Linked DNA regions of Drosophila melanogaster. The protein of the gene in region 2 interacts with the protein of the main gene of each other region in a pairwise test. Each region holds a gene or a part of one and is shown on either strand. Other genes may lie near its edges.

The links. Proteins that work in one complex are often made in the same cells at the same time.
Region 1: the proteins of Las (region 2) and CG11808 interact in a two-hybrid assay, tested with the Drosophila melanogaster proteins (one large-scale study listed by BioGRID).

Annotation. Positions count from the first base shown.
Region 1 is NT_033778.4:15,213,600-15,218,747, reverse strand, and holds CG11808 (uncharacterized protein), read right to left. Parts: upstream 2,542-5,148; 5' UTR 2,449-2,541; coding exon 1,870-2,448; intron 1,807-1,869; coding exon 1,726-1,806; 3' UTR 1,685-1,725; downstream 1-1,684. Other genes in the region: CG8079 (uncharacterized protein), read right to left, coding at 1-35, 93-284; mRpL41 (mitochondrial ribosomal protein L41), read left to right, coding at 1,184-1,684; CG8093 (uncharacterized protein), read left to right, coding at 3,148-3,240, 3,313-4,416.
Region 2 is NT_037436.4:20,428,204-20,434,087, forward strand, and holds Las (lipoic acid synthase), read right to left. Parts: upstream 4,159-5,884; 5' UTR 4,058-4,158; coding exon 4,007-4,057; intron 3,948-4,006; coding exon 3,615-3,947; intron 3,402-3,614; coding exon 3,245-3,401; intron 3,188-3,244; coding exon 3,130-3,187; intron 3,075-3,129; coding exon 2,540-3,074; 3' UTR 2,402-2,539; downstream 1-2,401. Other genes in the region: CG5262 (uncharacterized protein), read right to left, coding at 150-913, 966-1,186, 1,313-1,806, 2,110-2,160; Psn (presenilin), read left to right, coding at 4,639-4,803, 4,869-5,107, 5,175-5,384, 5,438-5,658, 5,731-5,829, 5,884-5,884. UniProt on the Drosophila melanogaster protein: Catalyzes the radical-mediated insertion of two sulfur atoms into the C-6 and C-8 positions of the octanoyl moiety bound to the lipoyl domains of lipoate-dependent enzymes, thereby converting the octanoylated domains into lipoylated derivatives.

The DNA of each region.
Region 1 (5,148 bases), on a different chromosome or scaffold from region 2:
GCTTTGTCACACGAAACCTTTTCTTCCCGGCTTACCTTTAAAATAGATCAAAAATTAAGACCATTTTAGCTCAACCTTTAATTGGGACTCACGTAGTGTAGGAGTTTTTGTTTATAGGACGCCAGTTTGGTGTCGTATTTGCGGATAATCCCGTGCAGCTTTTCGACGTACTGCAGTAGTTGTTGCTGCTCGCAGGTTTCCAGGTCCTGTATGCTCTTCAATTCGATGGAATCGTACTTGGCGACAGTGTCCGCCAAATCCTCCTCTTCAGCCGGTAACGACATTGTTTAACAACCGTCGAATCTAAATCAACTTTTTATAGGGATCACAAGCCGATTTGGGGAGTTTCAGCTAGAGATGGAGAAACATCGATGCTAGCATGGATGTCATCAATGTTTTCAAAAAATCGCATTCATCGATGTTTTCGAGGAATCATCGATGTTTTTCCATCTCTACATCGCATCTGAGGAGAAAAGCGTATAAATTGTAAGTACAAATTAATTTTCCATATCTTCTAATACAATTATTAATACCATATTGTGGCGTCGTGATAGACATGGAAAATATCTGAGAAGAAAGTTTTTAACACCCGAAAAAGGCTTGCACATATGAATGCATGTCATATGCACGTCTAAATGTATATACATGTATGTATGTAAACGTGCATTTGTCTTATAGGAGCAATTACTGGACCAGCGGAGGATGAAAAGGTGGACACCAAATACTGACGTTTTATTTAAGCAACATTAAAATAAAAAGCAATTATTTTTATTTAAAGCATCGATGTTTAAAACGTCGATGTTATTCGCCAAAAACATCGACATCCGCCAACATCTAGTTTCATTTCAACTAACAGTCGTTTTAAGCACTGGTGGCTGCAAAGTTAATCGATTTATTAAGAGATGGTTGCTTTTACACATAAAAAAAATATGCCTAGTTTTTGAAAAAAAAAACAACTTAGTTCTTATCAAGATAAAATAAATATGGCAACGGCCTAAAAGAAAAAAAACTTTTTCGGTATTTTTAAAAAAACAAGTAGTTTAATAGCAAATTGGCTTCCAATACATTTCCAACTGGGATTAATTGTCTATCGAAAAAAGTGTCATCTCTACCCAACCAAACAGCTGTTCCCTCATCTACATTTGTTATTTAACCATTTTGGTCGCCGAAAAACGAAATAAGAATGAATAATTGTATTAAAGTAGTGCCCATTGCCCTAAGGTGCCAGCAGAGGACCATCAGTACTTCATCCGTGCTGGAGGGCAAGCGGAACTTCCGTAAATTTAACGCATACAACAAGCGCGGTACGCGCGTGGTAAAGGAAGCCCAGAAAACACTGGCCAATCCGCCGGTAGCCATTCACAAGCGAGGTGTACGAGACACGGGCATACTTGTCGACGGGCAGTATGTGGAGATTCCCGAGAAAATTCCGGACATCATAGTTCCCGATTTGACCGGTTGTAAGCTAAAGCCATACGTGTCCTATAAGGCGCCGGACGTCGTCCAGTCGGAGTTCACCAGCTTGGATCTCTTCAACGCCGTCTACTCGCAGAAGATTATCGAAGATTTCAAGGCGGGAAAACTGCAGAAGGACGGCAGCGCCAAGGAGCCCTCGGTCAATGAGCAACTGACTCCGGAGGAGGCCTTGCAACGCGCTCGAAAGACGGGCAGCGATATATTCTAGACATAGGTTTATTGTTTCTTAAATACAGAGTCTAAACTCGACTACTCCTGCATGTACTTTTGGCGGTAATTGTACAGCTTGCGCAGCCACTTCTCGGCCTTCATATCCGGGTCGCCCAGGAACTGTCGGAATTGAAAATCAGATACTATTAGCATGTATATTCGAGCACCAGGTAACCCACTCACGTTCGGATGGAATATTACATCTTCGTTTCGGACTGCAGTGGCTGGCTTGCTGGCGACTGTGACCGTTTCATTGTTCAGATCTATGATCACCTTATCGGATGTCTCCTTTGAATCCCTGGAGCTAAAAAATGACTCCGGCTTGAAGGTGTCCTCGTCTATAGTCTCGAGTGCCTTTTGCACCTTGGTGTCGAACAGATCGATGGCCTTCACGGGAGCAGCTGCGGGTGTGGTTGCGGATCGGGAATTGCTTTCCGAACTTGGACCCCTGGTTTTCCTCTGCGAAATAGACCGCGATTTGTGATGATCCCTGGTTCTGCTTTTGCTGTGCGTGCTGCGGGAACTACTCCTGCTGCTGGAGGAGCTGCGCGAGGTGCTGCGACTGCTACTGCGACTCCTTCTCGAGTACTTTTTCGACTTCTTGGCCTTTTTCTTCTTCGGTTTTGAAACCTGCCGGCTGCTCCTGCTGGGCGACTTTGATCTGTGTCGTCTGTCGCGGTCTCGCTCTCTGTCTCTTTCTCGGTCCCGATCTCTATCCCTCTCTCTGTCGCGATCTCTGTCACGGCGGTCGCGATCCCTCATAATGTGTCCTTTATCGGCAGTTAATTATTTATTTAGTTTTTTATTTATGTTATATTTCTTGTGTGCCGGACGTCGCTCATTCCCAAAATACAAAATCGCCTGTCAAGAAAACGCAACATTTTTACGAATATTCCAGCTGGCCACACTGATTGTGTCAACATGTTTACCGCCTATCGATTTTTGGACTTATCGACCGATTTTAATTTAAACTAATAGGCGCGAATTTTAATTATAGTAATCACTTTAAAATATTTAACTTAGAACTATGTGTAATATTAAATCAATTAATTCTTTTTAACATATTCATTTAATATACTACATTTATTGAGTTTTGTCCTTACCGGCTTAGCATGTCAGTTTACAGACTGATGTGGGGTCTTTTAATGTCCAGTTTGCCGTACGCCCAAAGCAGGAAATACTAATTGCTGATTAACTCTTAGCAATTATACCTAATCAGCAGTTATCAAGATTATAGGAGACCTTATCGCTGATGACCACTAGCCATTCGTTAAATCAACTGGGATCGAAATTCCCACACGATCTATCAGTCTTGGCGAATCAAACCATTTTGCAGGCAAAAATAAACAGTCATAAATTAGGCAGCCAAATCTAGGAATCCTTATCAAGTTCCTGGGGGGCATATAAAAGGCACGGGCGGCCAAGTCAGCGGTCAAAGCACCTGCACCTGTGGAATACAAAATGTTGGTGGTTCAGCTAATTGCGGTTTTTTTAAGTCTGGGCTTGGCTAATGCCCTGCCTGCGGATACGGGGCGCGCCAGTTCGGTGACAACTGTAAGTTTTAGGATGCCATGTTCTTTGGCACCCAAAAGTCCTTACTAACCACTATATTGCTCTACTTTCCAGGTCACCATTGTTAGGGGACACGGTTACGAAATCGAGGAGCACGAGGTGCAGACCTCGGATGGTTACATCCTCACAATGCACCGCATACCGTACTCGAAGAACACTGGGTACGATGGGCCACGCCCTGTTGTCTTCCTTATGCACGGTCTGTTGTGTTCCTCCTCGGATTGGGTTCTTGCTGGACCTCACAGTGGGCTGGCATACCTGCTGTCCGAAGCGGGCTACGATGTGTGGATGGGTAATGCCAGAGGCAACACCTACTCCAAAAGACACGCCAGCAAGTCGCCGCTGCTGCAGCCCTTCTGGAATTTTGAGTGGCACGATATCGGAATCTATGATCTGCCCGCTATGATGGATTACGTCCTTTACTGGACAAATGTGACTCAACTTACGTATGTGGGTCACTCTCAAGGAACCACATCCTTTTTTGTGCTCAACTCTATGATTCCGCGCTTCAAGAGTCGCATTCGATCTGCTCATTTGCTCGCTCCTGTGGCCTGGATGGAGCATATGGAGAGTCCTTTGGCCACGGTCGGTGGACCACTGCTTGGTCAGCCCAATGCCTTCGTCGAGCTCTTCGGCAGCGCCGAATTTTTGCCAAATACACAGCTAATGAACCTGTTCGGGGCTCTCCTCTGCAGCGATGAGGCCATTTCACAGTTCATGTGCACCAACACCCTATTCCTGCTGGGCGGCTGGAACTCGCCATATATCAACGAGACCCTGCTCCCAGATATTATGGCCACCACTCCGGCGGGATGCTCAGTAAATCAGATCTTCCACTACCTGCAGGAGTACAATTCCGGATACTTCCGGCAATTCGACTACGGATCTACGCGCAACAAGAAGGAGTACAGCAGCAAGACCCCGCCGGAGTACGATGTGGAGGGCATCGATGTGCCCACCTATCTCTATTACTCTGACAACGACTACTTTGCTAGTCTGATTGACGTGGATCGCCTTAGGTATACCATGAACCCGAGCGCCCTGAAAAGCGCATATCGCATGCCGGAAGAAAAGTGGAATCATATCGACTTTCTGTGGGGACTGAATATTAAAGAAATTCTTTATGATCGGGTAATTAACGACATAAATAATGCATAAATGTGCGCTGGAAATAAAAAAAAGCGACATACGTTTTTGTGACATTGTGATAAAAAAAGTTCCATTGGTCACCACTTCAACGGGGGCTTTTGGTAGCTAATGAACCGATAATATACGAGTGGTCATAAATTCAAATTGATTTGGTGACACTTCACGGTGACTGAACAACGCAAAACGAACTAGCCTGCTAACATTTTTTGCCTTATAAGTGCACCTGCTAAATACAATGGATTATATTAAGTGTAATATAATAAAATATAAGCTGTACTAGATATTTTTATTTTATTTGCTGATTGTGTACTGTTGAGAAATATTTTGCACTCTTAGTTTGAATTGCGCGCCAACTTTCAGGGATGAAGCATCTTGTAAAATCATCGATAGACTTTCAGCGTTTTTTGTGGTAGTCGATAGTCCGCAACATACTGATCATAGTAAAAAATATCTGTAATGTATATTTAGGTGGGAAAATATATTCATGGCATTTATTTATACGTTAAATCAATTCTTGTTATGATATTCCTTAATTGTAAAAAAATTTTATTCTTGTTCTTATTAGCAGAATATAAAATTGACCAGTTTACGTTAACACTTTTTTTTAAATACAAAAATTTGATTTATATTTGTTTATATTTTAACGAACCGATGTGTGGTGCACCACTGTGCGTGTGTCACGACAATACCCAAGCCGATATTATCGATGTTTTCATCGATGTTATTTACTCGAGCAGGTAC
Region 2 (5,884 bases):
AATTCGATTAATTTACATATATTCTTTATTTTATATGTACAACTACATTAGTTTGATAGTATTTCTTTAAAAATAAATGACATGGGACTTTACTAGCCGGTAATAAACTCAATGCCGTAAAATATCTCCACATTGGCAGATAAGATAACTTAACTGAACAAATTTATAGATACCAAACAGACGCATAAAATTGACCAAATGAAGACGAAAACTAGCCAGGCACTGGACTTGAAAGGACTTTTAAAACGATTGACTACGCCGCTTCCCAGGAGCTCTGAGCAAGTGCGTCTCGCAAAGTAAACCAAGAAAACGGGGATAATGTATTGAATGCCAGTGCCTGCGTAGGTGCCAGTAAATGCCACCAAACTGGATAAACTTTCAGTGAAATAGGTGATACAAAAAGGCGGAATTATGGCGAGCAAAGGGAAGCACAGGCGTAGGATAACGCTATAGGATTCATATTGCGACATGTCTAGGAATAGAGATTGAAGGTTGTTCTTCAGCGTTATGGCAACAATGGGAAAACTGGTTGACAGGGTAAATATGGGAAAAAGTGCAAGGAAGTAATCAATGCAAATCAATAGACCTGACCAAAAGTCTACGTAGGCCACATCGTAGGGCAAAAAATCTAATGTGTAAAGGTCTTCGATTCGTTCGAAGGCAAAAATGCCTGTCATGGCCAGTAGAATGTAAAATGCACAAATGATTATGTAGTCAATGGATAGAATTTTGGAAACCATTGACTTGTGTCTGATGGGCGCCAGCAAACTGGGCAGTGAGTGGTGGCACATGAAGGAGTAAACACAGGCGCCGAAAAGAGAGGGAATTCCATATACATTAAAGGTCGCTGGATGACCTTTGGCACCTCTGGAAATCAAAAGTTTTAGCGATATGCAGATCATCAGGGTAAAAGCTGAAATACCACGTTTTAATATCTTATTAGTTGCACAAAATTCGAAGCTTACCCATCCACCGAAAAGCAGCGGTCAGCATCTGCAGGTACTTCGTTTTCTGCACATTAAAGTACACAAATGGACCAAAGATCAATGTGAATCCTATGAGCAACACCCTGTACATGTTCAAGCGAGATATCGTGTGTTCCTTCCAGCAGGCCAGAGATGTATTGTTCTCAAAGTCTCCGGGCCAATACATCAAGTTATTAGTATCCGTTCCATTTGTTTGGTCACTGAAACAAGACGATGAATTAAATTACATTCTCAAACGTATGAGAGAAAGGTTTTCATAACTCGGAAAACAGTTTCCAAATTAGTTTTTGATCCGATGTAAGCTGCGTGCGGTTCTGAGTACTTACCATACGACGTCACGCAGACTTCTTGCCACGGCGGCGGAATATATGCTCAGATCCCCGTAAAGATAAACAATCAGGCAGAGATAGAACATTACGCGGCCAAACTCATTAAAGAATAGTGTCGCCATTTCGCCAAGTTCGAATTTGTGGGACAGCTGATAGTAGTGGAACTCCCGGTTTTGGATGGTCAGCGGAACCCGCTCGAAATCGCCAACTTGCTCGGCTCCCGATGCCAGCGAAACATCATCAGCATTATCATCGTTTTCACTGTTTTCGGCGGAACTGCGACTTTGGCGCAGGGCCTGCAGAGTCTGCCAATTCCTGATTGCATTCGCACAAGCCATTGCTTCTATGATAAAAGTGACCGTCATGTAACTGATGATGGCCAGCAGAACAATGACGATCAGGGAAAGCATCCATCCTGCCCTGGCAAAGACTCCGGGTAGCGTCAGCGCTCCGGTTCCAACGATTAGATTGAAAATGAATATGAAGCCAACCTGTGGATAGAAAAGGAAATTTTAACTCACGGAGCGACAGGTGTTCAGATTGTGGAACGAAAATAAGTGCACACAACGCAAAAATTGTGCAAGTGGGCGTTATGGAGTAGATTCTTATATTTCCACTGGCACACCTATATGTACTTAAGGCGTTTTATACAAAAATATAAGCACAAATCTTTCTGACTTTTGTAAAAATGCACATTTGTTGCGCAAACAGCATAACAAACATGCAACAAATGCATACAATCCTTTGTTTTGGTGAAAGGAGTCGCTGGCTCCACACATTGAAGTTCAACTTACCAGATTCGAGTACGTGGGCGCGGCTTCGCGGCCATTGACAAGGCGAGGCATCTTTACGCTGGTTCTTTGTCTTTTCACCAGGCTTCTATCCAATCCGATTCAATCAAACTCTTAACAAAAAGAAAACAATAATAGAACAGATAGTGCACTCAATGCAGTGTGCCCAACTGTTTTGACGAAATAGAGTATACACACAATTTCCTAACGCCACAGAATTAATTATTTAAACACCCAATTGGCGCGTAATTTTAAAAGTATGTTTGTACACCACAGGAGACGAATTACTTCATTTAAAGCTAAAAACAATTCGATTTTATTTCAAAACAGTAAATTTGTCGTCTAATATATACATTGCACAACATGCGCGTGTGTAGCGAATAAAAGGCTAAACTAAAGCTATCCATGATCGACTAGGAAAGGCTTAGAAATTTTACTGCTTCTTGGGAACTTCAGTGTCGTTTTGCCTCTTCTTGCGATTCTCCAATATACTTGTGATGAAGAACTCGCCGGCTTTGTAGGAGCTGCGCACCAGCGGTCCACTGGCTGTGTACAGGAAACCCAGTTCGTTGCCGCGCTCTTCCCAGTGCTTGAACTTCTCGGGCGTGACGTATTCGATGACCTTGAGGTGCTTATTCGTGGGCTGCATGTACTGACCCAGGGTCACGCAATCTACGCCGGCCTCCCGCAGATCCTTCAAGGTGTTCTCGATCTCCTCGTCGGTCTCGCCAAGTCCCAGCATAATTGAACTCTTGGTGATGAGATTGGGGTTGAATCTCTTCGCTTCGGTTAGCACTTGCAGGGTCTGGCGGTAGTGGGCGCGCCGGTCGCGCACATAGGGAGTGAGCTTCTCAACCGTCTCTATGTTGTGCGCATAAACATCCAGCCCGCTGTTGGCGATCGTCTTCACACACTCCAGATTTCCTCGGAAATCAGGTACTAGGCACTCCACAAAGATGTTTGAGTTGCTAGACATAAAGTATAGATTAGGTTCGAACAAATTTAATAATGAATTCGTCTTACCGCGCCTTAATTTCGCGAACAGTTTCGGCAATGTGCTCCGAGCCACCGTCTGGCAAATCTATGGTAGTAAAGGCATTTTAAGCTATGGCAAGTCAAAAACCACTCCAGTACTTACCATCTCGATCAACTGAGGTCAGAACAATGTAATCCAATCCCCAGGAGGCAATTGCCGTGGCTGTGTTCACGGGTTCGTTTACATCCAGCGGTGGTGGTTTGCGTGCCGTTTTCACCGAACAAAATCTACAGCCTCTGGTGCAAGTGTCGCCCATAAGCTAGGTAAAAAATGTATTGTGAAATGGTGTAGTTAAGAAGTATTGGTTCGTCAATATTCGTTGTCTGGTTGCTTTAAAATGAATTGTAGTTTAAGTGACTTTCATAATTTAAAATTTAAAAATTTAAAAAGACGCCTAAGCTGTGGAAAATAATGTTCAGACTATCTGAGCATGTTCGGTTATCAGCAAAGGTCACCATGGGGGGTCCCTCACCATAATCGTGGCTGTCTGGGTGCCATGCTCGCCGCCGCCCCAGCACTCGCCGATGTTGGGACACCGGGCCTCCTCGCAGACGGTGGACAGCTTGAGCTCGCGCATCTGGGCCTTGATTTTGGCGTAGTTTTTGCCCACGGGAATGGTGGTCTTTAACCAAGGCGGCAATCGCAGTCGCTGCTCCTCGCCCTTTTCGCGGCGTAGCTTTCCATCGTACTGTTCCCACTCGTTTCTGGTGTTGTCCGGATTCTGCACAAAGTCATGGAAATTCGGACCCTTTGCCAGACGTTCACGAATCTCCTCAAGCTTCTCCGCATTCGTTGATGCCGCACGCTGTTATTATTCAATCAAAATAAGTTGTTTTTATATGTACTTTTCAAGCGTTTGCTTACGGTGGCAACTACAATGGGGGCCTCCGCGTGAGTTTTTAAAGCTCGCAACATGACATACATATGAATTATTTTACAATTATTAAAATATAAACGATTTATTTTGCTTGTCGAAACTTATGAAATATTTAGTAAGACCGTTTGCCACTTGCTGTTTTCATGGGCACTTTTTGTGGAGAACAGCTGTTTCTATAAGAAGCGCGTTTATGGTATTTAGTTGGAAAAAATTTATCGCTAGCAGTATTTTAAACAAAGATTTAGAAAGGGGTTCCTTTTAGAGTCATAAAAAATTGTGAGTTGACAAAGTCGCCACTTTTAATTTGTGCATGATTGCATGTAGAAGTTATTCTAAATACTTGTACCTTAAATATATTAATCCCTTCGCAAATTAATCGAACATCGATAGTTCAGCCGGACGAGCGCACTGCCATCACTAGTATATGAGTCGCTTTAAAACAAAAGAAAGTTTTTACCAGCTACATTTCTTTGGTTTCCTTAACTGTGAGTAGTCCAACTCCTGCGAGTGTCAAGCTCGGTCCTAATCGGTGGTGCTCCCCAAGAAATCCCATCACACAACTACGGCTTCGCAGGGGGAGGCGTCCAGCGCTACGGAGGCGAACGAACGCACACCACTGATGGCTGCTGTCAATCTCCAGGCTTCGTGCTCCTCCGGGCTCGCCTCTGAGGATGACGCCAATGTGGGCAGCCAGATAGGCGCGGCGGAGCGTTTGGAACGACCTCCAAGGCGGCAACAGCAGCGGAACAACTACGGCTCCAGCAATCAGGATCAACCGGATGCTGTGCGTATACCGAAGGGAAACTTTGTTGCTTACACATTCAACTATCGAATCCCCTTTCCTGCCAGGCCATACTTGCTGTGCCCAATGTGGTGATGCGTGAACCTTGTGGCTCGCGCCCTTCAAGACTGACCGGTGGAGGAGGCGGCAGTGGTGGTCCGCCCACAAATGAAATGGAGGAAGAGCAGGGCCTGAAATACGGGGCCCAGCATGTGATCAAGTTATTCGTCCCCGTCTCCCTTTGCATGCTGGTAGTGGTGGCTACCATCAACTCCATCAGCTTCTACAACAGCACGGATGTCTATCTGTAGGGTTTACCAGAAATCTACTTATCTGAAGTGTCGGTCGTGACTAAATGTCTCTTTTGTTCTCAGCCTCTACACACCTTTCCATGAACAATCGCCCGAGCCTAGTGTTAAGTTCTGGAGTGCCTTGGCGAACTCCCTGATCCTGATGAGCGTGGTGGTGGTGATGACCTTTTTGCTGATTGTTTTGTACAAGAAGCGTTGCTATCGCATCATTCACGGCTGGCTGATTCTCTCCTCCTTCATGTTGTTGTTCATTTTTACGTACTTATATTTGGAGTAAGCTGAGGCCATTTTCGATTAATGTTCAACTAATAGTTTGCCTAATTTAGAGAGCTTCTTCGCGCCTATAACATACCGATGGACTACCCTACTGCACTACTGATTATGTGGAACTTTGGAGTGGTCGGAATGATGTCCATCCATTGGCAGGGACCTCTGCGGTTGCAGCAAGGATATCTCATTTTCGTGGCAGCCTTGATGGCCTTGGTGTTCATTAAATACCTGCCTGAATGGACTGCCTGGGCTGTATTGGCTGCCATTTCTATTTGGGGTAAGTTTGACACAGCTTGAAGGCCAAGATTGCTGAAATAACTAAGTTTTTTTTATTTTCATTTATTTATAGATCTTATTGCTGTCCTTTCGCCAAGAGGACCCCTCCGCATTCTGGTGGAAACGGCTCAGGAGCGAAATGAGCAAATCTTCCCCGCTCTGATTTATTCATGTAATAATCATCCATCCGCATAAACTTTTAAATTAAATAATATATCCTTTTCAGC